Linked DNA regions of Mus musculus: regions 2, 3 and 4 are each reported to be linked to region 1. The links are microRNA targets in miRTarBase. Many come from high-throughput screens and were not tested one by one. Region 1 holds a microRNA gene; each other region holds the end of a gene's coding sequence.
Evidence for each region. Region 1 holds the annotated microRNA mmu-miR-3475-3p (UCUGGAGGCACAUGGUUUGAA, at 5,299-5,319, shown strand). A microRNA usually pairs through its seed, bases 2 to 8, with sites in the 3' UTR of a target mRNA and lowers its output. Matches are read on the target gene's strand: a 7mer-m8 pairs with bases 2 to 8, a 7mer-A1 pairs with bases 2 to 7 and ends in A, and an 8mer does both.

Region 2: miRTarBase lists Chrna1 as a target of mmu-miR-3475-3p. Seed matches in the 3' UTR shown: 7mer-A1 at 4,322-4,328.
Region 3: miRTarBase lists Rnf150 as a target of mmu-miR-3475-3p. Seed matches in the 3' UTR shown: 7mer-A1 at 2,573-2,579.
Region 4: the mRNA of Arhgef39 is a reported target of mmu-miR-3475-3p. Seed matches in the 3' UTR shown: 7mer-A1 at 5,961-5,967.

What each region holds. Positions count from the first base shown.
Region 1 is chrX:140,305,694-140,312,812 of GRCm38, forward strand. It overlaps Mir3475 (microRNA 3475), which reads left to right and starts at 5,255; the gene lies at 5,255-5,319. The region is part of intron 3 of Gm32113 (predicted gene, 32113); the gene reads right to left. It also overlaps a transcript of Frmpd3 not described here.
Region 2 is chr2:73,560,125-73,567,226 of GRCm38, forward strand. It overlaps Chrna1 (cholinergic receptor, nicotinic, alpha polypeptide 1 (muscle)), which reads right to left. Exons shown (of 9, transcript NM_007389.5): 8 at 6,578-6,817; 9 at 3,157-6,183. The coding sequence ends at 6,052. It overlaps Gm30940 (a long non-coding RNA gene), which reads left to right and starts at 1,062. Exons shown (of 2, transcript XR_866434.2): 1 at 1,062-1,169; 2 at 5,076-5,254.
Region 3 is chr8:83,082,816-83,089,929 of GRCm38, reverse strand. Rnf150 (ring finger protein 150) reads right to left here. Exons shown (of 7, transcript NM_177378.4): 7 at 1-6,494. The coding sequence ends at 6,376. Among named protein-coding and RNA genes, the nearest start is that of Tbc1d9, 79 kb to the left of the region's middle.
Region 4 is chr4:43,490,256-43,497,374 of GRCm38, forward strand. Arhgef39 (Rho guanine nucleotide exchange factor (GEF) 39) reads right to left here. Exons shown (of 12, transcript NM_001013377.3): 10 at 6,832-7,061; 11 at 6,566-6,654; 12 at 5,887-6,465. The coding sequence ends at 6,423. Ccdc107 (coiled-coil domain containing 107) reads left to right here and starts at 3,110. Exons shown (of 6, transcript NM_001037913.2): 1 at 3,110-3,281; 2 at 3,353-3,504; 3 at 4,940-5,000; 4 at 5,087-5,177; 5 at 5,254-5,366; 6 at 5,442-5,666. The coding sequence starts at 3,176. The coding sequence ends at 5,647. It also overlaps Rmrp.

The DNA of each region.
Region 1 (7,119 bases):
CAAATCCCACTCGCCCAGCATTTAATCAGCTTCCTGACAGATCCCAGTAAAAGGGAGATGAATTTACGAGATTGATTAGCTAAATCCCCAAGTGCTGTGCTTACTCCGTGATCCAAGAGCACCAGGCTGGGGCCTCTAGACTTTCTGCTGCACAGCTGCTCCAATAGCAGGTGGGCCTAGGGACCGCCCCCTAGAGAGGAGGGCTGAGCTAATGTGTTCTTGTTCTCAGGCTTGCTCTCCAGCTCAAGATGCTCTCCAACCTCGGATGCATCTGGGCCTTTGGAGTTATTCTCATCTTTGCCCTCCACTCCGTATGTGGTCCCTGCCAATTTATTACTCATCCCCACCTTGTGCCAAAGATGCCTTGTCCTTGTCTCTACCAATGTAAAGCATGTCAGCTTTCAAGGTCTGCCTAGAGCCTCTCCTCCTCCAGGCAGCTTTCCCTGATTATGAAAGTCTACTGAGCATTCCCTTCTCCTGTTTCTAATGTTTGTCCCACAATCCCTGATAATCACAGACCATGGCTCAAGCTGAACCAGAAGGTAGCTAGTTCTATCCAACCATATCTGTAAATGTTAGCTTTATTCCGTCACAAAGGCAACATGTCCGTCATAACAAGTCAAAAAGTACAGAAAGATTTTAAGAAGCAATTAATCTCTCCCCTGACTCCTCACAGCTCACGTCGTCTCAGAAAACCAATATTCTCAGAATCAGTGTTCTGCCTCTGCTCAAACAGACACATATACATACGCATGTAACCTCTCCATGTTACTGTAAAGTTATTGAAGGCCAGAAAGGGACATAATTTTTCCAAGATCACACAGCTGGCTAGGAGGTGAGGGAAAAATTAGAAGCCTGGTGGCCAGCCTCCCAGTTCCCAGCCTGGTGCCCAGCCTCCCAGTTCCCAGTCTGGTCCAGTTGTGGCTTAGATGCTTCCTGAGAGTCTTCTGTCCCCAAGGGGGTGGGGTGGCAGGAAGAACCCATGTGTTCTTCTTTGCATTTTCCACAACACCTAGCACAGTTTTGAGCATCTGGTCCAGGCTGTTTACTAAATGTTTGTCTCCTCGTTTTAACTTCTCTCTGAAACAAGCTACAGTATAAATAAAGAAAACGAAAATGTTTGACTCGGTGCCCGGCTTCACTAGACTGTAAAGCTGAGCCACGCAATCATACAGAAATTGATTGTTAAGATGGCTAGGATAATATATATATATATATATATATATATATATATATATGCAGCTGAAGTCTTAAGTGATTGGTAGCTTTGTACAGATATCTGAAGGCAGAACCAAAAAAGAGCTTGAATGGGTGAGAGATGTCTGCTCTGTGCTGTGCTAACAGAGTCATGAGCTTGCCTTAGGGTGGGGTCGGAACTGTTCTGGAAATGGGATTGAGGGCCTTGGGTACCACATCAGCTCTTAAACCTTCCACTCTGCAAGACTAATGGCCAAGTCAGCTGCTGCAGTCTGGCCCCCTCCTCACAAAATGCTGCTGAAGCCTCCACTGGCTACAGCCAAGGATTTAAGGCTCCTCTCTCTGTCTGAGAACCTGCTTTATGGCCACGATGTTCCTTTGTGGCATAATGGTGCTGAGACTTGTATAGATTTATTTGATGTATTTGTTTCTTGTTAATCAGTTGTGAGGGGAGAGGAGACTGGGCTGGAATGAAGGCCATTACCTCTACCCACAGGGATTGTCTTCCTGCCTCAGTGCAGCCTCTGGCCACATCAGCTGTTTGGGAGGCAGAACCCTTGGGAAAAATCATAAACACTAATTGAATTTTTGAACTGCAACAAACATTCGAAATTATCTAACAAGATTATTAATGCCTCCTATTAAAATAGCATTTCATAGTTTATGAAATGACTATATGTGACTCATTCTTTTGATTTTAAGCATAGATTCCTTTGTTTATTTAAAAGGAAAGATCCTGCCAAGTGGAGAGTAGATGGTTGTTAATTTCTTACATGTGAAAATGGCATTGTGGTTACTGTTCTCGTATTAGGAGGTAAATTATCAAATATTTAGAGAATGATGTGTCATTGATTTTGGAAACCTTAAAATGTTATAGCATTTAAATAACATAACTAGGGCCAGAGGAATATGGAGTTGTTGCTTAGTGAGTTGGTTTCTGGAGATGGCTTACCATTGTTTTTGGGTTTTGGTTTTTGTTTTTTGTTTTTTTGTTTTTTTTTAAAAAGCTAATGACGCTATCTGTACACTGAAAAAGTTACAGTGGAAAATGTTATACTACCACAATTATATGAGAAGGAAGAGACAGGCATAGGGAACAAAACTGGCAAAAGTCTTGGTAAATGTTGAGTCTAGGTGACCAATACAAAAGAAATTACTAAAATGATCAAAGTACCTTGTATACTTATATGAAAGTTGTCTATATAAAAGTCAGTACTGGTCTTAAGTCTAAATTTAGATGCTCGGTATATTTAAAAATATTTATCATTATAAATGGACAGAATCAACGAAACTCTTAATGTGAGCAGGCTTGTAAAGAAATGAACATATAGCTTTCTGTAGCTAACCTAGATCGTACTAAAGATGAGTCATGTGTCCCAAAAGCACTCGGAAGATTGGAGCACAGTGATGGAGAGGAGGCAATGCCTGAGTCATTGTGTGGCTGTGCATTCCTGGTTCATTGACAGGTAAGATGGCAGAGCTATACCAGTTGTCTACTGTGGCTGATTGGAGCGAGCAATGAGCAAGTTCTGAGGTTACAGCTACCACAGCTCATCATTAGGGTTATCTCATTGGTTCTGAATTATTCAACGGAAGATACATTTTGGTCCCATGCCCCCTACAGGTCATGGTGGTACTTGTCAGTCATCCATGAATGAGTGGAGAATGGAAATGTGACTGACATTTTCATCAGCTCATTTACATTAGCTTTCTACCATCCAGCTCAGAGCTTCACATCTCACTGCATATCTGGTCGGTGGGACTCAGCAGAGCTCTCAAAAATTGGCCTGTCATGGCATGACGGTAGTGGTAAATGGCCCCAGCTTTGATAAAAAGGAGACATCAGTAGAAAGGACCAGTCACTTGGCCTTATTTCTATATGATCTATTGGTCACTTGAGGTTTTGCTCATGGGGAAGTAGGAGGGACATAACAAGGCAGAGAAAGAGTCACCCATCTTCCTGCTAGCAGTATGTGAGGCTTGGTTCAGAGCTCAACAAATAGAGCCATTCGGTTGCAGGCCAGCTCACCCAACCACACAATGAATGGTACTTTGTGGGGATCACTTTGTCCCTGCCTCTACCTTGCTACACCCTCCCAGCTTCAGCCCCACCAGACAGAAGAGCTCTCGGCCATCCCAGTGCAGGAGGAAAAGGGACAGGGACATAATTTGCATTTTCCCTTGGCAAGCCTTTGCCTAGTGTCTACATCAATCACTATAAAGGATAAATGCCACCAAGAGAATGGAGAGAGAGGGAGAGCGAACGAGAGAGAGAGAGAGAGAGAGAGAGAGAGAGAGAGAGAGAGAGAGCAAATAGAGACAGTGAGCTAGATTGAATAAACCTGCCCAACTCCTGATAGAGCGAGCAAGCTGGTCACAGGAAAGCTAGCCAGAATGAATCCTTGGAGATTCTCCTGAATCTCTGGGACTTCAGCCTCTAGGAAATTAAATCTCCTCCTGTGTCATGTTTGATAGCTGTGTTCCAAAATCATTGAGTCTGGGTCTGGAAGAAATCTGACTGTTCACAAGGGCCTTATGCAGAATGGGTATAACAAATGAAAGTAAGTGGATAGAGATAGGCCTGAATGCAGTATTTTTCTTAGTTTCGTTTTCTTCCTGGTATTGTACGTAACTGCATGTAAATAAGCCAGGACTTACTGAAGGCAAGGAATTGACCCAATACAACCCAGCTAATTAGTTGAAGCAGAGACCCAGAATCCTAATCCAGTCTTTAAATGGGGGTGGGGCAAATTCTCAAGTAGCTCTAGCTGATCTTGTACTCACTGTGCAGCTGAGGATGGCCTTGAACTCATGATCTTCTTGTCTCCACCTCCCAAGTGATGGGATTATAAGAATGTATTGCCACGTCTGGTTTAATCCTGTCCTTTTACAATAAACCATAATGCAGTATGCATTGCACAAGGAAACAAACAGCACACACACACACACACACACACACACACACACACACACACACACCAAGTGAAGGACTCTTTTCTTTTCCTGTACCTTTGCCAGGCAGTCCTAATTGAAATGTGGCCTTGAGAAAGCATCCCCACCCACTTCCCTGTCTCTCCATCCTCTTGCCTGTCTTCCCACAGCAAGGTAGCCATGCTCTGGAGTCAGGCCAAGGTCCAGGAGGTCTTTACTCTCTTTCCAGCCTGCCCCTCCCTCTTTTGTCAGCAGAGGCTTACTGGAAAGGCCACTCTGAAATGAAGATAACATCTGTGCGGTGCTTGTTAGTAGTTAACTGCTGGCTGACTTCAGGCTTGGCCATCTCCCTTGGTCTTGCCTGAGCCTTTTGGTCTGCGTTTCGCTTTCCTGGTTTTTACCTGTAACGTTGAGCATGGGGCTCAACAGCCTCTGCCCAAAGGTCCACAGCTTTCCTTAACTCAGCTTCTTCTGTCTAGTTTCTATAGAAGAGGAGGCAAAAACCAAAGCTAACACAGGCTTTGAAAGGTCAAGATACCTAAGAAGAGGAGGGGGCCTTCATCTGTCTCCATTATACAGATAGGGAAACTGAGGATTACTATCATGGTATCATGGCTTCATTTTCATCCCAGTGCAGAACATGAAAGAACAGCATCCCCAAAGAGCATGCTTGGATAGGAGTTCCATCCAATATGGGCAGAGTGATTAAGTAGCAGTCATATGAAGGGCAGTCCACTGGAGATGTTGGAAGACATAAAAGACACGTATTACTTTTACCATAAAATAAAGCACAGTTAAACTACTACTTTTGGTAAGCAGAAAGTTCTGGAAAATAATTCCCTCAAAAAAAAAAAAAAGAAAGAAAGAAAGAAAGAAAGAAAGAAAGAAAGAAATTGCATCTTCACCTTAATCTTACAGCTTCCCATTGCTCTGGTGACCCAAGCAGGTTCTCCATTGACCCGGCCTTTGTATGCTCTGAAACCAAAGATGACAGGGTGTAGGCCAGTCAGTCTTCAACAGCTCGGTCTTCTGAGCTCCAATATTGGGGAGGATAACACTGATGTGCTGTAGTTTGAGCTATTCCACGCAAATGAAGAGGCCTTCACCAAGACTATGCTCTGCTCCCCAAATCATGTACCCCCACAGAGGGTCCAGATGGTTCTTAGTTCTTCTGGAGGCACATGGTTTGAAGAGCAGAGCACAAGACTGGATTTTCATTCCTGCTCACCATCTTGGCCGGGTTGGACCGCCTCATCCTGCTGCTGTCCGGATTCCCCAGGATTCTCACTCAGCCTGGGATCTTCTGCCCTTGGATCCTCCTCGCCTGTTTACCCCAGCCGCACCCTGTCTTAGAAGCTTCTTGTTATTCTGGTAAAAATAAAATGTGCTAACCATTTGTTAGAATTCAGATTCTGACTAGCATGCCCACTGTTTGCTGTGCCCTGCCCTCCACACAGCTATCTACTGTATAAAAGAGAACACATCCTTAGACTCTGCTGGTAGGGCCCAAATATAGGACTCTCCGTGGAGCCCCCTCCTCTTGCTTCTTGCTTGCCTGTCTGAATAAAGGGTGGCACTGCTTTTCACTGCAAAAATATGTAGACATCAGCTGGCAGATGGCAAAGAGTGACAGTGGCTAGAGACGGTCACCTAGAGAGCTTAATTGTGCCCATTTAGCACTGTGCTAAGACCCCCCTGCACTGCAGGTGAAGAACTAGATCGAGCTGGTGAGTTATGCGTGGTATAAAGGTGGCTGAGGAAGCAGGTGGTTCCTTGAGATCAGTATATCCCCTTCTGGCTATACTCAAAGGCTCTGTCCACCCCACCTTCCAGACATGACAGCCTTCCAACGAGCTGCTTGTACTGTCCCCATGGGCTGAAGATTATGCTGCTAAATGAACCTGAAGCAAACTGCCCAGTAGAGTCAATCTAGAGGAGAAAGGAGCCTTGGGATAAGATCAGTCAGTGGGGAGATCACAAGGGGGAAGCCAGTCTTCCTAGAAATCTGAACTGGGAAAGGGAGGCCAACAATGGCTTCTCCTCTTCTTCCTCAGATTCCTCCTCCTGCTCTTCCACCACCTCTTCCACCTCTTCCTCATATTAACCAATTCAAAGGAGGGGTATCAAAAACCTTGAAGAAATAAGAATATGAATGGAACACAAAGAATTCTCTCAGATCCCAGAGCCAGAGAGAGGCAGGCAATGGAAGAAGAGGTGCAGAAATCCAGCAGCACCCACCATCAATCTTCAACCTTGACAAGTGGCATCAGTCCTAGGGTGGGGAAGAGGAGCTCTAGTGGGAGCAAATCTCCTGACCAGTAGGGAGCAAGGAAAAAGGAAAAAAGAGACCAACAGGAAACAGACCAAGCACTATTCTGCAGTGTCCACAAGCAGTTAGAGAAATCGGGAAATAACATTCTTCAAGGAATGTCTAGACCAGGGAAATCCAACTCCAGATAGATCTAAGACAGGTGGGGATCTTTGGAAAGTCTAAGAACAGTATCTACTGCCACTCAGGATTAGGGTTTTCCAGCAGCATCCTCTAACAGTGCAAATAACCTCCGAGAGTGGGTATGAACTCCCAATGATCTAATAAGAAGACCAAGGCTCTCTTCAGGAAAAGACAGAACTGTTAACTGGTAGGGTACACATTGACTCCCAATACTTAGAGACATAGGCAGATGACTCTCTCTGAGTTCCAGGCCAGCCTGGTCTACAGAGTGCTTTTCAGAGCTATGCAGAGAAACCTTGTCTTGAAAAAAAAAAAACTGAGAGGGAGAGAGACAGAGACAGAGAAAGGGACAGAGACAGAGAGAAATTCTGCTTCTTCGCCACTAGAAATGTCTACCTCTCAGTTCTTCTAAAGTCTATGGAAAGAACTACACACCTGGCAAGAATATTGCAGTTGCGTCAGATCAACCAAGAAATTTGGTGAGCAGTAAGCAAAGGGACGGTGGCCAGGAGTGAAGGAGCCTCTGGTGCATAGAGTGA
Region 2 (7,102 bases), not on the chromosome of region 1:
TTCAGAGGAGTGTTCTACGAACCTCCATGTATCTCTCCATCAAGTCAAGTTGAAAACTGAAAATTAGCCACCACACCAGCTAAGCATTTCAATGTTATTTGTTTGCTGTTGTTGTTGTTGCCAGGGTAGATTTAATTTAGAGAAAAGTTGCACAGGGTACAGAGAGCTCACAAATGACCTTCACCAAGTTTCCCTTCATGGCATAACTAATGTATTTGTGAAGAGGAAGTGTGTAAGACTGACCCAGTACTGACTATGAGCAAATGTTAGACTTGGTTCAGATCTGCCAGGTCTTTTCCTGTCCCAGAGTGTTGCACCTTGGGACTAAGGCTCTGGTCCTCCGTGTCTCAACAGCTTTCCCAAGCTCGGCGCAAAATGGAGGATTCCCTTTTCTGCTTCTCTGCCTGATGTGAGGAGCCTGGCTCCCAATCTTCTATCTGAGGAATGTCACATAGTCCTTGACAAAATTACAGGTCGAGTTTCCTCTCTCCAGATAAGAACCTACCCAGCAAACACCTGGGATTCCTGGAGTGCCTCTCCATGCAAATGAGGTGTTCCCAGAACATTACACCTCAGCCACGAATCCTCACCGTATGAAGCCTCAATGAGCTAAGAAGAACTCCTTTCCACCTCCAAGGTTCATATATTGCCCTTGATTCATCTGACAAAAAAGTGTATATGCACAAGCTGTCTCATTGAATATCGTCTAAAAGAACTGCTTTACTGAATCGGTCAAGAGAGCTGGAACACTAAACTCCTCAGTAAAGCCCCGCCACTCACACCCAACCGGACAAGGATCCGGCAGACTCCACCCAATCCGGGCTTCAATTCATCCTCCCAGCCTGGTGTGCGGGCGGCACCTGGACACCCTGAGGGATGAAGTGGAACCAGAGAACAGCAAGGACCCCATGATGTGCCGGCAATTCAGCTCCTTGTGACGTCAGCTTTTAGCCTCACTTTGCCCTGCGTCCGGTGGAAACCATGCCCGTGACGGCCTCTGCTTTAAGCTCCGTGAGGGAAGAAGGGGATTGATTGTAGAGGCGAGTACGGAGGGTGGGGGGGGGGGGTGCGGGAGAGGGGTGTGTGCTGGAACGCTGAAGCTCATTCCAGCTGCTACAGTGTCCCTGTTCTCACCAGCGTGACAAGCATCACCACCAGGATGCAAGAAGGTCCGTCCTCACATGGAGAGAGGGAAAGAGGAAGGGAGGGAGGGAGGGACGGAGGGACGGAGGGACGGAGGGAGGGAGGGAGGGAGGGAGAAGCTCTCTGGCATGCCTCTCCTTGTCAAAACACACTCAAGACTCTCCCTAAGGCTGGTTACCTCCCAAAGGCCCCATCTTCCAATACAGTTGCAAAGAAGTTAGGGTTTAGCATATAAAAGTGGGGGACACAGTAGTGCAGACACTTCAGTCTTTACTGCAACCCCAATGAGTGTGTGGGTGCGTGTGAATGCTGCCTCAACACCCAGGTTGGGGAAATTCATTGTAAGAACCCTCCTCAGTCCTGAGACACCCCGCCCCCTACATTGGGTCCTCCAGTCCTGATCCTGAAAACTCATCTCTATCAGATAGCACCTGCCTTGTGTTCTTGGTCCTCATTTCTCCGGAAGTCAGCCTGCCAACCCAATAGATGTACAGGCACACGGAACTCACAGGCTGGACCCTTTCACAAACACCACTAGGTGGCGATAGTTCCCGGAAGTCCCTGTACCGATTTTACTGGTAGCCTTCTGAAAATCAGGCTTGAACTAATGAGACGCTGGCTTGAGGACAGAATGACAGAGCCATTTTTGGAGTTTAATGGAGCGCACATTGATGCAGTACTGTAGCTACACGGGGCCAAGCTGTCTAGGATGGGGGTGGGGTGGAGTGGAGAACATGGGGGGAAGGTCATGGCTGCTTGGAAAGCAATGGACTGTATGGTGATAGGGCTGAGTAGATGCTCAGTGGTAACACGCTTGCCTTCCAAGCACCTGGCTTTGATCCTTAGAACTCCCACTTAAAAACAAAAAGTAGGGAACAGCAGCCACACACTTGAAATCCCGACTCTGGGAAGTCAGAGTCAGCGGATCCACAAGATCACCAGCCAACCAGCCTAGCATCTGCAAGAGAGCCTGCCTTTTAAAAAGACGGTGGTTGAGAGCTGGAGAGATGGCTCAGCCACTAAAGACTAGACTCACAACCAAAATATCAGAATGGTTAGTGACACCTGGGGAATGACATCAGAGGTTCTCTGGCCACAGACACATGCACAGAGAACACGTGTACCAAAAAAAAAAAAGACATGGCCAAAGGGCAGGATTTGTGATCTGAGAGAACTCACTGGAGGTCTTGACTTCCTAGTGTATGAAGCATGCCTTCCGTGTATCCCCAGACTCTGTAGTGAGAGCTCAGGGCTGAGGCCTTTGGTTTACCCTTGTTAGAGCGTACACAGACATAGATTGTGGCGCTTCACCCATTTTTAGGAACACAGCTCTCGGGTATCAATGCTGTGTGGTCAGCACAGCAGTCCGCCTCCCGAACTTTTCATCTTGCCATAGTGAAAGTCTGTTCCCATGAACGATAACTCCTAATTTCCCCTCCACACCCCACACCCCCCCGCCCCAGCCTCCCACAGCCTCTTCTCCATTTCTACCTGAGTATTTCTAAGGACCTTGTGTAAGTGGAGTTTACCTTGTGGCCACATGGTCATGTGACCAGGTGTGGGGTTTCAGAAAAACTGGGCAGCAGAAACAGGTTCCGGATGTGCAATTACCAAAAGTTAGCTCAAAAATCAAACACAGCGTGATTCTGAGATCTTCTGTGGCAGTGTTTGTACGAGTTGCCTTGTGGTCTGAACACACACGAACACTGCACGGTGCACGCCATCACGATATGCAACACCAGTGAACACACTGATTTACCTCTGCTCAGATTTGATACTATTGAATGTCATGAACTGCGGTGACCTTACTCTCTTAGAGCATATTATGTTTAATTACTGAAAACAGAGACTTGTGATATTTACCTTCCATTGTCCCAGGCAAGTAAGTATCAAATTTGTTTATCTTTAGATGCGATTGTGTTAGACAAAAAATAAACACACCCCTCTCAAAAGCAAATTTATTTTTTATCCTTAATAGGTGATAAAATGCTATGCATGTCAGAGAATTTTTTTAATTAAATTTCTTTGTTATTTATTTTTATACATATTTTATATTTCTACATAACATTTCTCAAGCAAAAAGTGGTCGTGAGTAGAAAAAGCTAAAGAATTAGATCAACTGACAAAATGCTTGTTTTTAGATCTGAGTAAGAGCCCCAGAACCCATGCCAACTAAATTGTTTGCAGAAAGAGGAGACAGGCAGATCTCGGAATGGCCTGCCTAGCCAGCCTAAACTACTTGGCAAGTTCCAGGCCAGTGAGAAACTCTATCTCAAAAACAACAACAAAACAAAAAGGCGATGGCCCCCCAGGCCTACACACATACACCCCAAAACCCATTCTCCACATCCCTTTTGCTTGTCGTCTGTGGGTTGGAGCCTAGACCGCTTTCTCTGGCTCTTGCCTTCTGTGCGCGTTCTCATACAAATTGTGTAAGTCTTTCTTTCGATTTCTTTGGCTCTCTACCTGGGAATGGGACTGCTGAGTGACTTGGTGACCCGAGTGTGACTTTCTGAGAAACTGCCAATTGTTTCCACTTTAAAGTGCAAACTATTTGAGATGAAAGAGCCCAGCACTGGTGCAGGGGTGATGGGAAGTCCCTCAGGAGATTGAAGCCACCTGGGCTCGCACTGGCCTCCTGGTTATGCAGTTTATAGCTCTCCCTGGAGATGACGGATCAGATGTGTTTGTGATTCAAAGGCCTTTTCTGCGTCCAGAGCCACACGGCTTCTTGGTCTGGGTAAATTGTACTAGAGCCTAGAGTTTGGCACAGAGAATTTATTTTTCAGATTTCAGAAATGGTGATGGTGTGTGCATACGTTTCTGGTTCCATTCATAGGGCCTGAACTCCAAACATGATTGCGTCCAAGGACTGAAGGAAAAGCCAGGGGTTTTAATTGAGAAGGCAGGAAATAGGATATCACAGAGTCCCCACCAACACAGACCAGAACTACTTAGATCACGCCAGGCATGCTGGGAGAGCAGGGAGCAGGTGACCCCATCAGCTGCAAGTCGGTTTAGAATCCCTTTTCTTTTTGACTTTTAAAAAAAATATTTGGGGCTGGTGAGATGGCTCAGTGGGTAAGAGCACCCGACTGTTCTTCTGAAGGTCCAGAGTTCAAATCCCAGCAACCACATGGTGGCTCACAACCATCTGTAACAAGATCTGATGCCCTCTTCTGGAGTGTCTGAAGACAGCTACAGTGTATTTACATATAATAAATAAATAAATCTTTAAAAAATATTTGTTTGTTTGTTTATGTATTTATGTGTGAGTGCTTTGTATATGCACACCTGCACACCAGCAGAGGGCATCAGATCCCACTGTAGATGGTTGTGAGCCACCATGCACCCTGTGGTTGCTGGGAATGATCTTAACCATAGAGCCATCTCTCCAGCCCCTGTTTTAGAATCTTAAGTTCTGTCTGGGTTCAGATCTCAGTTCTTCTACTTCTAGATGGAGCAGAGTTTAACTTTCCCCAAAAATTTTTTTTTCCATTTGTAAATTAGGGACATTATGGAGACTGTGTAAAACAATTTGGATAAAATAAACCCATGCGGGCGAGACGATTCTCATGGGGTCAGAGGCACACCCTTGATGAGGATGGGATCTGCCCTTCCTCGGGTCCTGAGAACAAAATCCAGGGGCTCCGTTAAGTTGGGAGAGCTGAGGCTCAGTTATAGCTCTGTGTGCAAAGCTCTAGGTACAATCCCAAGGAATCCCAAGCGCCCTTTCAAGAAGGCCTCTCAAACAGAAATCACTTAAGAAAGCATTCTCCCTCTCCTGGTTTCAGAAGTCTACTTTAAACCATGAGGTTTTGATACTATTTGTATGTGATCGCCCTAAAATTACCTTTGGGCCAGTGAAATGGATTAAGCAGGTAAAAGTAGTTTTTTGCTGGACAAACCTAACGACCTAAATTCTATCCTAGGACCTATGAAAAGCTGGAGATGGCGGCATGCATCTGGAATCCCTGCACTCTGTTCATGGGCCGAGAAGTATAGAAAGGAAAATGCCCCAGGAAGCTTTACATGAGAATGTAACACAGCGGCAGAAATCACAAGATACTTTGCCTCAAATGAGATAAAAGATGAGAACTAACTCCTAAAAGTTGTCCCCCAATTTCATCAATGTGTGCGAGTATGTACACACACACACACACACACACACACACACACACACAATTTTTTTTTAAGTTTAAAGTTACCTAATTTCCTTTCTACCACTTCCTTTGTGTCCACATCAAATCTGGGGAATCTGGTAGACACGACTTTTCTAGTAGGTATGAAACCGTGTGTCTTAAGTAAGGGACTCTCAGCACTTTAAAAATAAAAATTAACTGAGCCCGATAGGTGGGTGGTTCAGTGGTTAAGAACACTGGGTGCTCTTCCAGAGGGCCTGATTCCCAGGTTCCATGTGGACGCTCACAACCATTTGTAGTTCCAGTTCTAGGAGATGGGATACCTTCTTCTGACCTTCATGGACACTAGGCGTGTATGTGAGACATACACGTAGGCGGATCACTCATATAAGTACAATTATATTTATTAAAGGAAAGAAAACAAAAACAACTAGCCATGGCAATACAAACAGAAAACCTTGAGTATCCAAGCAAAACTCTCCCAGGGGCCATTTAGAAGCAAACACTTCTTTTGAGGGCTCACTTTTATTTACTTCAAAGGGTTCGCCCTTTAAGGAGGCCCATAGTGTTAAAAGCAGAAGCAAAGGGGAGACACTTCAAGAATACAGCCGTGTGAGCAGAGATCACTCTCATTAACATGTAGGACATGTAGAACACTGCATGTTTGGTAAGTGTGAAAGGATTCAAGGAGACAGACCTTCCTCTCTTCCATCTTTCCTAGCGATGGCTATGGCTGGGACAGAGGTAGGCTTAGCTCAGCCTCTGCTCATCCTTGTTGATGTAACTCAATGAGCCGACCTGCAAACACAGCCAGCGTCCCGATGAGACACACCAGCATAAAGACTCCGAGGAGGATGTGATCCATCACCATGGCAACATACTTCCATTCCTCAGCGGCCTGGGGGAAGCAGAGGGCGTTAGATAGGAATCCCCTGAGATGGGACACAGGCTCATAGCGCCCCCTACTGGCCTGGCCTTCAATATGTAAACCTCCAAACCTCAACACCTGATATTACAACCTTTAGTTTTTGCATAATTAAGCCAAAATGACTTACTATAGTTGCCAGAGATAGTCAACACAGTGCATCTGAAGTTAGTAACTAGAGCTTGAAGCCAATTCATTGGTCAACCTCCCTGTCACACTTATGCATTTAATCATTTAGACCCAGAGGTGTGTTAGCTTAGAGGTTGTGGCGCAAACCTTTGGTCTTAGCACTCAGAAGGCAGAGGCAGGCAGATAGATAGACAGACAGACAGACCCGGAGGTGTGGACTGGGAGCCACACAGCTTACGTTATTGGACTCCTGGTCTGACTTCATGGTCTCTGCAATGTACTTCACGCCCTCGATGGCGCTTTTCACCTCAGGGTGCTTGATCAGCGGAGAGTGAAAGCCCATAGGTGGAGGACCCGGCTTCCCAGAGATGTCAGATATATCTATGTCTTCTGTAAAAATCCTTTTCTCTTGTTTATCTCTGGATGGTCTTTTCATTGTGGAGAAAAACATGATGTTTGGGATAGTGTCGATAAAAACCTGACATAAAAAAGAAATTCTTGGCATGAGACTTTTTGTCAGTATTTACAGAATCACTGACTTTGGGTAAGCAATGTGATCTTGGACAAGTCACCCAGCATTTCTAGACCTCACCCTCCTTGTCCTTAAAACAAAAGGACTGTACTAGAGGGCAAAGGCTCCAGGCTGCATTCTACAGCTATGATTCTGTAATGTAAGCAGTTAGCCACTGGAGGGAGCCTGTGTGCAGTCGCCAACGCTGCATTATACTTCAGACTCTTCCGCAGGCAACAGAAAGTTCCTGAC
Region 3 (7,114 bases), not on the chromosome of region 1:
CACACATACAAAACGCTTTATTTCACACCATTTACATTCACACGGAAGAAGAAGTCCTCTTATTGATCTTCCTTCTCGATTTCGTGGGAGGAAGCGGAGCTGAGCCAAAGCCACACAGAGCAATGCTGACAACACACATCCCAGACAGCAACAGAACACAGCAACGTTTTAAAACAGGCCTGCTTTGAGGTCTCCTACAGCTCTCTAGAGTTCAAGACATTCTCTCTTCATTTGATAACTGCTGGCCAAATTCTCCACTATTGAAGGAATGGTACCGATGAAAATGCAAGACACATTTGTTGACTTGGAAACCCACTGCAAATTAATTTGCTGAAAGTATCAGACCAGCAGAGGGCGCTCTGACCCTTGCAATAAAATTCTACAGACAGGTTCGGAAGACAGCAACACAAATTTGGATTGCTAAGCCCATGCACTGGCCTTCAACTGCTCTGTCCCTAATAGGCGACAATTTGGTATTTACTTCAAAGAGCAGGATACACTACAATGGGCTAGCTCTTACATGAAGAAATCTTTGGCTATTTAAAATCTTCACATTCTCAAAGAAAACTATTCTGAGTTCAATATGAGTGCTAGATTTGTCTGAAGTTTTGAAGTAAAGAGGGTTAAACACGAAAGTTTAAAGATGGCATGTGTGTCACTAAGGCCACAGTCCATTGTTTTAGATTTGTGGATTTATCGAGGCCAACCAGCAGCCTGAAAAAATTGAAATGCCCAAGGGATCCACCTTGACTTTTGTTTGTGAGAACATCAGGAGACAATTCAGCTAGTTCACAGAAGAACATGTGTCCATTTGGATGTTGATCAGTCTTTGGTTTATTTAGCACACACGGTCCTCACATTTTCTCCAAGGTCACTGCTGGCCAAAGAACCGCACACCAGAGAATTTCTACCCAGCAATGACTTTGGGTCACTCAACTGTCTCTCCTTTCTCTGTAGATTTTCCTGTCTGCCTCTTTAGAGGTCTTACAAGAAGCACACTCCCACATCCTCCTCCTTCCCCCCTCCTCCTCTTCCTCTTCTTCCTCCTCCTCCTCTTCCTCTTCTTCCTCTTCCCCCTCATCAATGAACACATATCAAGTGGCTAAAGAGCAAACAGCTCTGCAGTGAGGGTGAGCATCTGTAATGCCACCAGTTTAGAGGATCTGGGCACTGAGGTTCAAGAAAAAGCCATTTGATTATGAAGGACATAGGACAGGGAGAGAGTGAGTGAGTGAGACAGGCTCTTACAGAACAAGGAACTGATTAAATTAATTAAAGTCCACATCTGGGATCTACATTCACTTCATTAGTTATGGGATGATAACACCATGCCACCACGAAGCTCACAGTGGAATAAAATAGTTCCCTATCTACAAGATTTTAACTAGCACTGTCTGACCCTCCTGAGAAAGGCCTGCTGTTGGGAGCCAAGTATCCCAATCTTCTTCACAATCAAGACGTTTTAACTCATGACTATTGACTCCCTTCAACACCTGCTCTCCCTGGGACTCATTGGTAAGTTCCGAGCCCAGGGGAGGGGCAGTTTTCCACATAGACTTTCTCCTTAGCTCACCCTGCTTTGATCTGGGATCTTGCCTGCTGTGGATGTCCTTCAGGGTACTGGTCGTTTCCCTTGTGAAATTCAGCCATCACCCCTGCTCCTCCGTCCTCTCCCAAAATGGACAGAAATACTGCTCAGGAAATCAGGCAGCCCAGTCTTTGAAGGGCAGTGCCTCTGCTCCTCTTTGCCGTACGTTCTTTCCAAGAAGCATGGCTTGCTAAATGTTAAGGACCCTGGGAAGATGGCAGAAACAGGTCACGCAAATCCTGCTCTTGTGCGAATGTGGCCTATTAGGAGGGGACCAAGGAACAGGGTTTAAGGAAATGGGGTGTAAGATAGGGAAAGTGTGTGTGTGTGTGTGTGTGTGTGTGTGTGTGTGTGTGTGTGTGTGTGTGCAAGGAAGGGAAGGGAAATTAAGAATGCTATGGGGGCTGGTGAAATGGCTCAGTGGTTAAGAGCACTGACTGCTCTTCTAGAGGTCCTGAGTTCAATTCCTAGTAACTACCTGGGGACTCACAACCATCTGTATCTGGGATCTGATGCCCTCTTCTGGCTTGCAGGTGTACATGCAGATAGAGCAACTCATACATTTAATTTTTTTTTTTTTCTTCTACAGGACATCATCTCCCTGGCCTCAGTACCTCAGCACTGCAGAGACTGGACCTTCTCTTTGTAGATTGCATGATGATCTTTCCTAAAATTTTTGAAAGTTTTTATTTGGTAATTTTCATGGTGTTCAGCCAAGGATATGCATTCAGTGGACAACTAAATGCCATTAAATGCTTATGCAATCTACTTCAGCACCAACTAAGCTTACACCAAGAATCTTAGGCAGACTGATGTTCTCTTTTGGTTCTGGAAGTGTTGTAGTCCCAGGAATGTCTGGGCTGTAAAGAAAATGGCCACTGGGCACAGCCATTCTTAACAGGCTAGACCCTTGAATACCCACAGATGAAAATGTTAAAGCAACAACAACAACAACAACAACAACAACAACAACAACAACAAATCTCTGGAGAGAGACTTGCTTCCATGGCCAGGATGTCACACACAATGTTGAAATAGCTAGGTGCCTCTGGTACTCCTCCCCACCTCTGCCCCTGCCTCCACCCAGTATTTGTCTCTGTAGCTGTCCCAGAACTTGCTTCATAGACCGGGCTGACCTCAAACTCACTGAGATCCACCTGCCTGAGTGCTGGGTTCAAAGGTGTGAGCCACCACTGCCTGATTGCCTCTGATACCTTATCATCTCCTGTCTCCATACTATATCCATCCCTTGGGTGTGTGACCAGAACTGACCTTGAAGGCCCTGCCAGACCCAAGGCTGTTCTTAGGAGGCAGCAGCCCTTTAGAAGGATTAACCACGCAGGAGGAAGCCATTCTGAAAGTGACTCTGAGGGAGTTCAGGGCTCTTTTCCTCTCTCAACCTTGGACAAAGCTGAAGAGAAAGCTGCTCGCCATTCACCACATAGAGGCTGGATGGCCACAAGCTCAGAGATCCTTTCTCGGCAATGCCACACAGACCGGGTATGTGGCTCGGCCTGCGGTTTCCTGCGCCTTTCCTGTCTCTGAGTTCTACTGCTTTAGAACGGGGCAGCCACAGGGATGAAGAACTATGGGTTGAGGTAAATTCTCTTTGGCTAAGTGTCACATTAAGAGTCTTGGGATTAGTCATAGAAGTGAGGGGTGTAAGTCTCTCACATGAGTCTCAGGGTTTGTCATAAAAGTGAGGGTGTAATTTTATTTCAGCACCAAATCAGCATGGTTGGTTGTCTTGTTGTTTTTTAACAAACAGCTCGTCAGAGAAGCAACAGTTGCTGAGGACAGTGGACACTGTGTTTAGAAAGTTGATAAAGGCTATTTGAACCGCTATTACTTATGGAATAAGAACATCCCTGGCTGTCTCCTTAGGTAACTTGGCTAAAGTCTGTTTTTCTTTTGGGGAAAACCTGAGGTAATCTTATCCTTTTTCTCCTGTCACAGTCAGGAGAGCACTTGTAAGGATTCTGGAACATTTCTTGGGCTGTGCTGCCCGGCTGGTGGCCACTAGGCACATGTGGCTACGGAAAGCTTGAACTGTGGCTAGTAATAATGATGATGTGCTGGGCGTGTAAAAGACAGCAGATTTAGAATAGGTAACAAAGAATAGAGGAAAATGTTTTCCTGACACCCTACATCATTTGCACATCAAAACAATAATAATATTAGATTAAACTGCTATTAAATAATTTCCACCTGTTTCCTTTTTGCTTCTTAAAATGTGGCTATCGGGAGTTAGAAAAAAAAATGCATGTGACTTGGGCTGTATTTCTGTTGGACAGAGTTGGTGCACCACTTGCTCCAGAAAAATGCATGCCTGTAAATGCATAGTCAGTGGGCACTCCTGGGCTGCATAGCCACGTGTGGCTCACTGGGTCCTCAGGTCAGGGCCTCCTCATCACGGAAGGCAGCAGCAATGTCTATAGTAAGAGCTTTGCCAGTTATCTCAAGAGGAAAAACTTTCTTTTAATCTTTCTTTTGCCATGAAGGTCACAGGGAAGCCCTTCAAAACTCTTTGGTAAGCAGAGACTGTCAAAGGCTCAGGGAGTTTGCCACAGGGTCTCCTTGGAGTCAGATCAACAGGCTAAGGGTGGGCCTCTTGGGCTCCTTAGCATCCTGTAGGGTATTAGGTCAAGGACTTGCTTATATAATCAGCGTTTACCTGGCCACTGGCCAGAAAACACCTACCAGATCTTTTTCTGTCTGGTCATGCAATGTAATTTTGTATTTCTCTTGTTGTTGAATTACCCCAATGTCATTAGACTAAATATTAAAATTTCCTTTGTGACTCAGTTGTTTTCACAACACAGATCCCCCCTGGAGAAGTGCAGATGTGTCACCTGAGACAGAGGGGACAGTGAGACTCATCTTCGAAACTTCATTGGAGAGAGTCTGGTTTAGCACTCACCTGCTTCCTCGCTACGAAGCATCTCAGGCCTTGGAGGCGGGCATTAATTATGGGATGTGCTAGACCTTTGACAGAGGTGATTTTTCTGAAGCTTGTTATCATTTTCCTTGCCTTGCTCTCTACCATCGAATAGGAATGCATTAAAAGTAGAAAGAAAGGAAGGAAGGAAGGAAGGGAGGGAGGGAGGGAGGGAGGGAGGGAGGGAGGGAGGAAGGAAGGAAGGAAGGAAGGAAAAGGAGCAGTGGAGAATTCCATCGCCCTGGACTCAAAATTCCAGTGGGCAGCATGGATTTACAGCTCACGAATGTTTGAAAGATATTAGTGTAATGAGGTGGAAAAGCTCAAATCAAATACATAAATACAGCTCAGTGGGAAGAGCTTGCTTTCCTGATAATCCCTGCTCTGTATGACCTTGCCAACTGCTAGGGAGGAGGAGGAGGAGGAGGAGGAGGAGGAAGAGATCCTTCTGATTGTCCAGAGGGACACAGGTGGCCACCTATGTCTCTGGAATTGCTGCATGTATCACAATACTGTCTACTCAAAAGACAGCACACTTTTGTTATTGTTTCAGACAAAAAGAGAATAAAATCGTAAACCACTTTATAGTACGGTGGGTTTTGATAGTCATTTGTTATTTTCCTTGTAATCTTATTTGATTCTAACTCTCAGAGGAGACTCAATTTAGCAATTTCCCATGATGCACATTTTGATTCAGACTTTATCAGATCATACCTCGTTCTCCTCTTGATACCCAAATGCTCTCAGAAGACCCGAGAAACTGTTAAGGACTTATTTAGATCTTTCCATGTAGGCTGGTGAGGGTTAACAGGAGAGTTCCTGAAATAAGCTTACACCTGGATGCCAGTGACCTAAAAACTGATTTCATCTTTTCTATACCTCGTACCCGTGGAATTCATTTATGAAGGTGATAAACTGCTAAGGCTTTGGAGGAAATCAGGGAGTCAGGCATCTTCCTGGGAAGACAGGGTATCAGGTTTTGTTTTGTTTGTTTGTTTTTTAAACTAGGCTTATAGTTCCACATACTCTGAACTTTGTCATGGTGTCCTTTGGGGAATTCTGAGTTTTAGACTAAGGCCCTCCAGTCAGAGGACCTGCATTCCTCCCTGACAGTTCTCTCCTGCTAAGATGGCCCCTGACAGAGCGTGGCAAGTGGAAGCCTATGTAGTGGAGTGGAAAATAGCCAGCAAGCAGCTCAGCAGATCCAGAACTTAGTGTGGCTGTCTGGCAGCTGGGCTCGCCAAGGCCCACCTATTGGAGGGGTTTAGACACTTGGTAAAATCTGCCTTTCCACTGTTTCAGGGTGCCGAGGCAATCCTCAAAGTCATACACACGTCATATTGATAACTCGCGACTATGAATCTCAAGACGTGGTATAAACCAATCACAGGGCCAGCAACCAGAACTTCTAAGCAGACCTCTGTACATGGGCTGGAGTGGATCAAAGGGAAAACGGAGGGAATCAATCGATGTAAACTACACATCAACTTTAAAAAGAAGTCGCCAAGGGAATGAAACCATTTTTCCCAAACAAGAGCAAGAAGATGGGAGAGGCTGAAGTCAAGTGAAGAAACTGTGGAGTTCTCCTTCCAGTCTGCTGCACGTCTACACAGACACCAAGAAATTCAGCTTTCAACTTCCACATCAAGGCCACAGGCTGTTGTTGCAGAGATGGGAACCCGCATCCTGACTCGGGAGACTTTGGATATTGCTTTCGTTACCACCCTTGAACAGAGTGCCCTGGGGTTGCCATGGTGATCTGAAGGTCGTGTATCCAGTTCAGTCCTTGGAGCATGCTTCCCTCCTGTCCCCCTGGTTCCTATGTCTTCTCTTGTCCATTTCTACCATCTCAAGATTTCACCTCCTCGCAGTCTTGGTCAGTGGAAAGTTCTACATCAGACAGGCCCACTTCCAGTGCCATAATTAATGAGATGTCAGAGTCACTGCTCAGTGCTGGCTCTTGACCACCTGAAGGGGGACAAAGCAAAGTTTATGGTCAACGTCAAGCTATGTCTTTGGATGCTTCCGTTTTGGAATTATTGTTCCTAGTAGTGTTTCTCTTTTTAAGATCTAGGTTTTGTTTTGTTTTTTTTTAATTAAGCATATAATATTGATTGTCACATGAGTTTGCATATGTGTATGTGCACACAAGTGCAGGTGCCTGGTGGGGGGGCATTGGCTCCCCTGGAGTGATAAGTGGTTGTGAGCTGCCCAGTTCAGATGCTGGGAACTGAACTTCTGGCCTCTGGAAGAGCAGTATGCAGTTTAAAACACTCTCCATCCCATCTACTAGCACTTCTTTTTTAAAAAAGTGCTACCCTTCCCAGCATCCAGAGATCATTATTCTACTCCACTCTTCCATTAGAGTTATAAACTTTTCACCTAATAATTTTATTTCCAGAAGTCTTACAAAAAATTGGCTGTTCTGTAAAAACTCTAATTCAAATCTCACCTCAAAATAGAGCCCCAGATAAATTCTAAGTGGGTCAGAAATTTAAATGTGAGCCATTGTGGTAGGAAACTAATAGAGGCTGGCTATGGTGGTGAACGCTTGTAAAGTCAGCACCGCGGAGGTGGAGGCGGGAAGA
Region 4 (7,119 bases), not on the chromosome of region 1:
TAGCAATCTGAACCAGACAGTGTGACACAAGTCAGAATGCTAAGGCGGGAGGATTATGTGTTAGGATCCAGCCTGGACTAAAGAATGAGATCCTATCTCCAACTAAAACTAAAAACAAGCAGCTGGGGGCTATAGTGAAGTGGTAGACTACTTGCCTGGCATGTGTGAGGACATGGCTAGAAGCACCTCTGTAGTAAGCTGGCCTGAGGCTTATAAGAACTGGGGTACTCTTGGGAGGCAGGCTGGGGCTGAAAAGAGAGAAACTAGATGGTCGAGAGAAATAATGGAGCCAAGACAAAGGTTTTGATCAAGGCCCATGAGTTTATTAAGAAACCGTGTTTATAAGGGGGTGGAAAGCTGCACCACAGGTGGCCCCACCTCAATGGTGACAAGATTTGTACCAACCCGCTTCAGGCTGGGGGAGCCTACACACCCCGACCCCGTACCATCAAAATGAAACAACAAAACCTTATTCTGGAGACCAGGTTTGGTGGCACACACTTAGAGTCCCAGTGTACAGGAAGAAAAAGCAGGCGTTTCAGAAGTTCTAGAGCGTACTTGACCATATACACAAAGAGTTCTGAGGTCAACCTGGACTACCTGACTCAAAACTCCCAAAACAAAAAGCCAGCCATCAGTGAGTCATTTGTCCCATTAGAATGAACCTGAATTTATCTACACACACTATGCCAGCTGGCAGCCACTCCAGGTTTGTACCTCTCTTCTTTCCCATCCAAGCTGCCTTGGAGCAATCAGACTTTAACAACTCCTGTTGCCCTGCCCTGCCCTGCCCTGTCCTTATGCCCCCCTCTCTGGGAAAACAAGATAAGACTCTCATGGTTTATTCATTTATTTAACACTCGTGTGCCTCATGCCTGGTGATTGCCAAGTCCTGGAGACCGAGATGCAAATGGAACGTGTTTCTTCATTCCGAGAGCTATTGATCTGAAGATGGCCCTCTGAAGATGTAGCAGAGGTAAAAGATAACAGGGAGAGAGGTACATGCTGGCTGCATCTCTAGCAACCCCAGCACTCCAGAGATTATCTCAGAAGGATCTTGGGCTACTGAGACTGTCTCAAACAACACAGCTTAGAGCAGACAATGTAACACCCTGTCTTGGTCTTTTGTTCGTTTTTTTTTTTTTTTTTGTTTTTGTTTTTGTTTTCTTTTCTTTTTTTTTTTTTCCATTTTTTATTAGGTATTTAGCTCATTTACATTTCCAATGCTATACCAAAAGTCCCCCATATCCACCCACCCCCACTCCCCTGCCCACCCACTCCCCCTTTTTGGCCCTGGTGTTCCCCTGTACTGGGGCATATAAAGTTTGCAAGTCCAATGGGCCTCTCTTTCCAGTGATGGCCGACTAGGCCATCTTTTGATATATATGCAGCTAGAGTCAAGAGCTCCGGGGTACTGGTTAGTTCATAATGTTGTTCCACCTATAGGGTTGCAGATCCCTTTAGCTCCTTGGCTACTTTCTCTAGCTCCTCCATTGGGAGCCCTATGATCCATCCATTAGCTGACTGTGAGCATCCACTTCTGTGTTTGCTAGGCCCCGGCATAGTCTCACAAGAGACAGCTACATCTGGGTCCTTTCAATAAAATCTTGCTAGTGTATGCAATGGTGTCAGCGTTTGGATGCTGATTATGGGGTGGATCCCTGGATATGGCAGTCTCTACATGGTCCATCCTTTCATCTCAGCTCCAAACTTTGTCTCTGTAACTCCTTCCATGGGTGTTTTGTTCCCAAATCTAAGGAGGGGCATAGTGTCCACACTTCAGTCTTCATTCCTTTTGTTCGGTTTTGAGAGAGGGTCTCACTATGTAGACCAGGCCTTGAACTCATAGAGATCTGTCTGCTTTTGTCTCCCCACTGCTGGGATTAAAGGAGTGTGGTGCCACATCTGGCAGCTCTGTGAATCTTATGTGCTTGCTACTACATAATCCCAGCATTTGAGAAATGGAAGCAGGAGGGTTAGGAGTTCTAGGCCAGCTCCAGCTACATGAGAATGAAGCCAGCCCAGGTTACATGAGACCCAGAAGGACCTAGTTGTATATTTGCCTTTTGAGTCGCTGTGAACATTCATTCATTAATTTCATTCACTTCCTCAAGTTCCCCTAGCAACAAGTGACTAGGCTCGGACAGTAAAATGGAAAAAAACAAAAAAGCAAAACCCACAGTCTTGCTCTCTTTGGACTAGCAGTCTAAAAAAAGAATTACAGCTATTAAAGAATAAATTAGGAATTCAGATTTGTCTCCGTTTTCTTTCTTCTTTTCTTAGGAAAGGGTGACCTTGATTTCCTAATTAGTACATTCACATCTGGCTCTGAAGGTTGTATAGAAATAAAAGTGGCCGGGCGTGGTGGCGCACGCCTTTAATCCCAGCACTCGGGAGGCAGAGGCAGGAGGATTTCTGAGTTCGAGGCCAGCCTGGTCTACAAAGTGAGTGCCAGGACAGCCAGGGCTACACAGAGAAACCCTGTCAAAAAACCAAAATACAAACAAACAAAAATAAATAAATAAAAGTGTAGCCGCGCTGAGAATGAGCCCCGTGTGGTTGGTGCGAGCCAGGTCGCACTGCCTGCGTCACTATGTGAGCTGACGGATGACGCCCCGCTGCACGCCGCTCAGCTCGCCCCGGAGGGGTCGCTTCTTGGCGGGCTAACAGTGACTTGCGGGGGAAGTCTACGCGCGTGTGCACGCGGCACTCTCTGCCCGTGGTCCGGGGACTTTCCCCTAGGCGAAAGGATAAGGAACATGTCCCTCGTATGTAGCCTAGGAAACAGGCCTTCAGAGCGAGCTGCCTTAGCTTCTAGGCGCGACTAATTTATGACTCTACAACAGGCTTAATTTTTTGGTTATGGTGAGAAAATTGGTCTCTCTAGGTAGAAAAACAATGAGCCATTGTTTTAGGCATGATACTTTATCCTGAAAGATTCTGGAGACATAATTGTTTAAGAAAGCTATAAATAGATAGGTCATTAATTAATGTAGGAACGCTAGGTGGGCGTGGTTTATGCAAATATTGCTTAAACCCATCCTGAGATGGGCGTGGCCGCCTTAAGGGACTCAGCCCCCCCGATGTAGGCGTGGTCTCCTGCGCGTGCGCACTACGGCCGGAGGCCCAGCGCTGGAACGCGGGGTACCCGGCGTGCGATTCTGGTGGGCCAGGCATGGAGGGCGCTGGCCCCGTGTTGAGTATTCTGGGGCTGCTGCTTGTGTCTGCGCCTTTTGGAGTCCTTGGGGAGCGCCCCAGCGCCGATCTGGGGGCACACCCAGGTACCTGCGAGAGCTGCTGGAGGGAGGCTGGGACTGCCTAGTAGAAACTGACCGATGGCTTTAATCCACAGAACGGGGCTCCCAGGTCAGTCCGGGAACCACCGAACCTCGGCGGCAGCCGCCACCCAAGGATCAGCGCGAGCGAGCCCGGGCCGGATCGCTGTCTTTGGGCGCTCTGTACACCGCGGCCGTCGTGGCTTTTGTGCTGTTCAAGTGTTTGCAGGTGCGGTATGGCGGTGGGTTGTGGGAGCCCTGGGCCTTAATCTCCTGGGGCCGCTACAGTACCAAGAACAACCGCTTCCCGGCTACCTGTAAAATGAAGGCTCGTTCCTTGGTTTTTCCACATTATTGGGGCATTCGAGGATCCAGAGAGATAATGGATGTAGGGGGCTGAGAAATTGTAGAAACCGTTACTTTTACTCCTCTCTCCAGTGACGATCGATTTTCAATCTGGAGCTCATCCACTTAGTGTCTGATGTAAGTGGGGTTTTAACCCAACTAGTGTCAGTATGCAAAAAAAGAAGTTGCTGCTGAGGCTCCAACCTTGGCCCAAGGAGTTAATCGCGGCAGCAACAGAGTGTCTAGTGGACCAGACACCAAGCCGTTTCGTGCTCTCCTTAGGAAGGAAACCCTGAAATGTGAACTGACTGTACATTCTGATTACTTTGAAACTGTTGACATGGAAAGTGGAACCTACCACCCAGTGCTTTATCTTCAACTCTGGTCAATTACTTGCACAGGGGAATAGAGGCTGAACTAATTAGTAACATAAAACTAGATGAGATTAAAGAGCCAGGCAGACTTGACAGGCTAGGATGAAGATTGGAGTTTAAAGATAGATTAATAAATTCTACCCAGGCGTAGTGTTAGACGCCTTTAATCCCAGCATTCAGGGGAGACAGAGGCAGGAACAGCTCTTGTGAGTTCGAGACCAGTATTTCTGTCTTATGCATGGAGAAGAATACATAAGCAGTTGAGAAGAGGAGCGGGACCCGTGGAAGAGAGGTAGGCATGGCGGCTGACAGTTTCACGGTGTTATGATAACCCACTTTCCAATTAAAGGTTCTGAAGGAGGCTTGTGCTTTATCTACCTATCAGAGCACTGGGAGAATTGTATCCTAAAAATAAACCATAGGGCACTGCCTTTTAGAGCAAAGAGCACTATATAGACTTTTTGTTGTTGGGTTTTTTGTTTTGTTTTGTTTTAGATTTTTAATCTGTAATGGGATAATGTGAATTGAACAGATTGGAGATTTTTTTTTTCACCAGCAAAGACTGAGGGTACAGGAACTGGTGACACAGTCCTATTATTCCAACTACTATGAGGGAGGATTGTAAGTGCAAGGCCCATCTGGACAATTTAGCAAGACTCTACCTCAAAGGCAGCGAGGTATAGGGATGCTAAATAAGAAGGCTGGGGTAAGAGCAATCTTCCCGTCCCTACTGGAGAGTTTCACATTCCCAGGAGTGCTTTAGCAGTCTGGCCATGTGTGGGCATCCTGACGTTTCACTTCATGTTCTGGGTAAGCAGCTGGACTAGAGACAACTGGGATTCTCTGAGGTGGATGCCCAGAGCTTTCTCTATGGCTCCTCTCTTCACTGGCTCTGAGGTGCTGGGGCCTTTGCTGCAGCCTTGTCTTTATCTGCTTCCACAACAGGGCCCAGATGAGGCTGCTGTTCTCAGAGAGGAAAAAAACAAGAAGAAATCCTCGCAGTCAGGTGGGTTGAGCATTTAGTGGTGGTTTCTGGCGATGGAGTAGATCAGGGGACTGCAGGAGTAACCATGCCCTTTCCCTCACTCCCAGAGCAACAGCTGGTGCAGCTGACACAACAGCTGGCCCAGACGGAGCAGCACCTGAACCACCTGATGACACAGCTGGATCCCCTTTTTGAACAGTGAGAATTTGTGGGGTGGGTGAGGTGGGAGCCAAGGAGACAGACTGGGCAGCCCCCTGAGTGGGTATTTCTACAGGGTGACGACTTTGGTTGGAACCCAGAGGGAACTTCTAGACACAAAACTAAAGACCATCCACCACCTTCTACAAGACTGCCAGCCTGGCACAGGAGTGGAAGTTCCAGAACCAGGTAAAAGGTTGGGAGGTTTCTATGGCTGGAGAGCCATGGCTGTGAAACTAGAGCAAGTTGGTCTCTCCTTCACAGAGGCCAGCATACCCTTTACTGAGGACCTGGGGAAAGAAGACCAAGAAGCTGGAAACAGTCAGGCCTGGGAAGAGCCCATAACCTGGAGCCCAGAAACACGGAACCTAGCTCCTTCCTGGGAGGTGGAGCAGGGGCTGAGGAGAAGGTGGCACAAGACGGTGACAAAGGGTCCAGCAGTAAATGGGGAACAACCACTGAAGGTTTAGTAAAAAGAGTCCCCTCGTACTGGGTGTTCCTCTGTGCTTTTTCCACTCCCTGCTACACACACACACACGGTGCAAAAGCCAAGCACTCTTCCCTTATTAGGAAGAGAGAGACTGCCTTCCAGAATGTGAATGGAGAAGACAGAGAGAGAGCCACAGTTCTGCCCTTGTGTTTCTGAGGCTACCGAGATGCCAGCCATCAAGGCTCAAACTCCATTTTCTCGTGATTTAGACAGGAAGGCTTTTGCAAAAACAACCCTTTATTAAGATCCAGTGGGGAAATAAATTATAGAACATAGGAGGTAGTTCAGGAGGATCTGGAGTTCAAGGCCACCCTGGACTGCATGAAACCTTGTCTCAAGAAAACAAACTATATACAATAGCCAGGTGTGGCAGCACACACCTATAACCCAACACCTGAGAGACTGAGGCAGAAGGAATTCAAATTCATGGTCAGCCTGGGTAAGATCCTTTCTCAAGAATAAATCAGGAAACCATAGGCAATAACAACAAAATGGACTCCTTTTCAAAGCTGCAAATGGGATTAACCGCTGGCCACAGACAGCAGGGGCTTTTCAGGCCCCCCAGTGGCAGGGCGTTAAAGGGACTTGTTCCACTGAGGCTCAATCGAAGTACATTCCCTTTTGTTCGTGGCTCTGCCCTATTCCTGAGTATCCGAGTTCTGGAATTTGTAAGATTCTTCATAGGCACACCCAGCTGCCATGTGTATCCCAGGATAGCTGTGAATATGGCCCCAGCATGTTTGTAGATGACAATGTCATGTTGCAGTGACACTTCTGTGGGTCGAGCTCTTCTGGCTTCTGTGGGAAGAAAACAGTCTGGTCACCGGGTCAGTCCTCAGTCACCCACGGGGTGGGGGAGGGGCTGTGAGGGACGCTGCTCCTTCTCAGCACGGCTAACCTGATAGCCAGAGTCAGGCTGTGGTGCCACTGTGACAGCTCCTCCTGGTCAGTAGACATAAGCAGTAGCTTCTCATGGGGAAAGGACAGCTAAGGAGAAACCAGTTAGTTCAGAGCAAGTCAGGCTGGGGCCCTCTCTGGTCCCGTGACACTAACTCAGGGATAAGTGTGAAACCTCAGCCCCAAAAGGGAGCTAGCTCAAGTGATGGGCTGGTCTACAACTACTTCAAGTATATTTTGGGCCCAGATTTCCCATCTACTACTTACACTGAGCAAACCACCACAAGGTCCTCCCGAATGGCCAAAGACCCTGCTAAGGTGACACTGGGACATAGGGTACAGGGCTCTGCAGACAAAGGTGCCACTCTTCAGCAGGTGCAGTGGGGGCCGAGGCTTGGCCATGAGGAGCACGTCGGAGAAAAGGAAGAACATCCGGGGCCGAGGCTCCCCAGTGGGAGGCACCACTAAAAGCCAGCCCTGCCGTAGGAACCAGCGGCCTTGAAAATGAGAGCACTGTTATTGTACAGCTCAAGAATCCGTAGGAACACAAGAGAG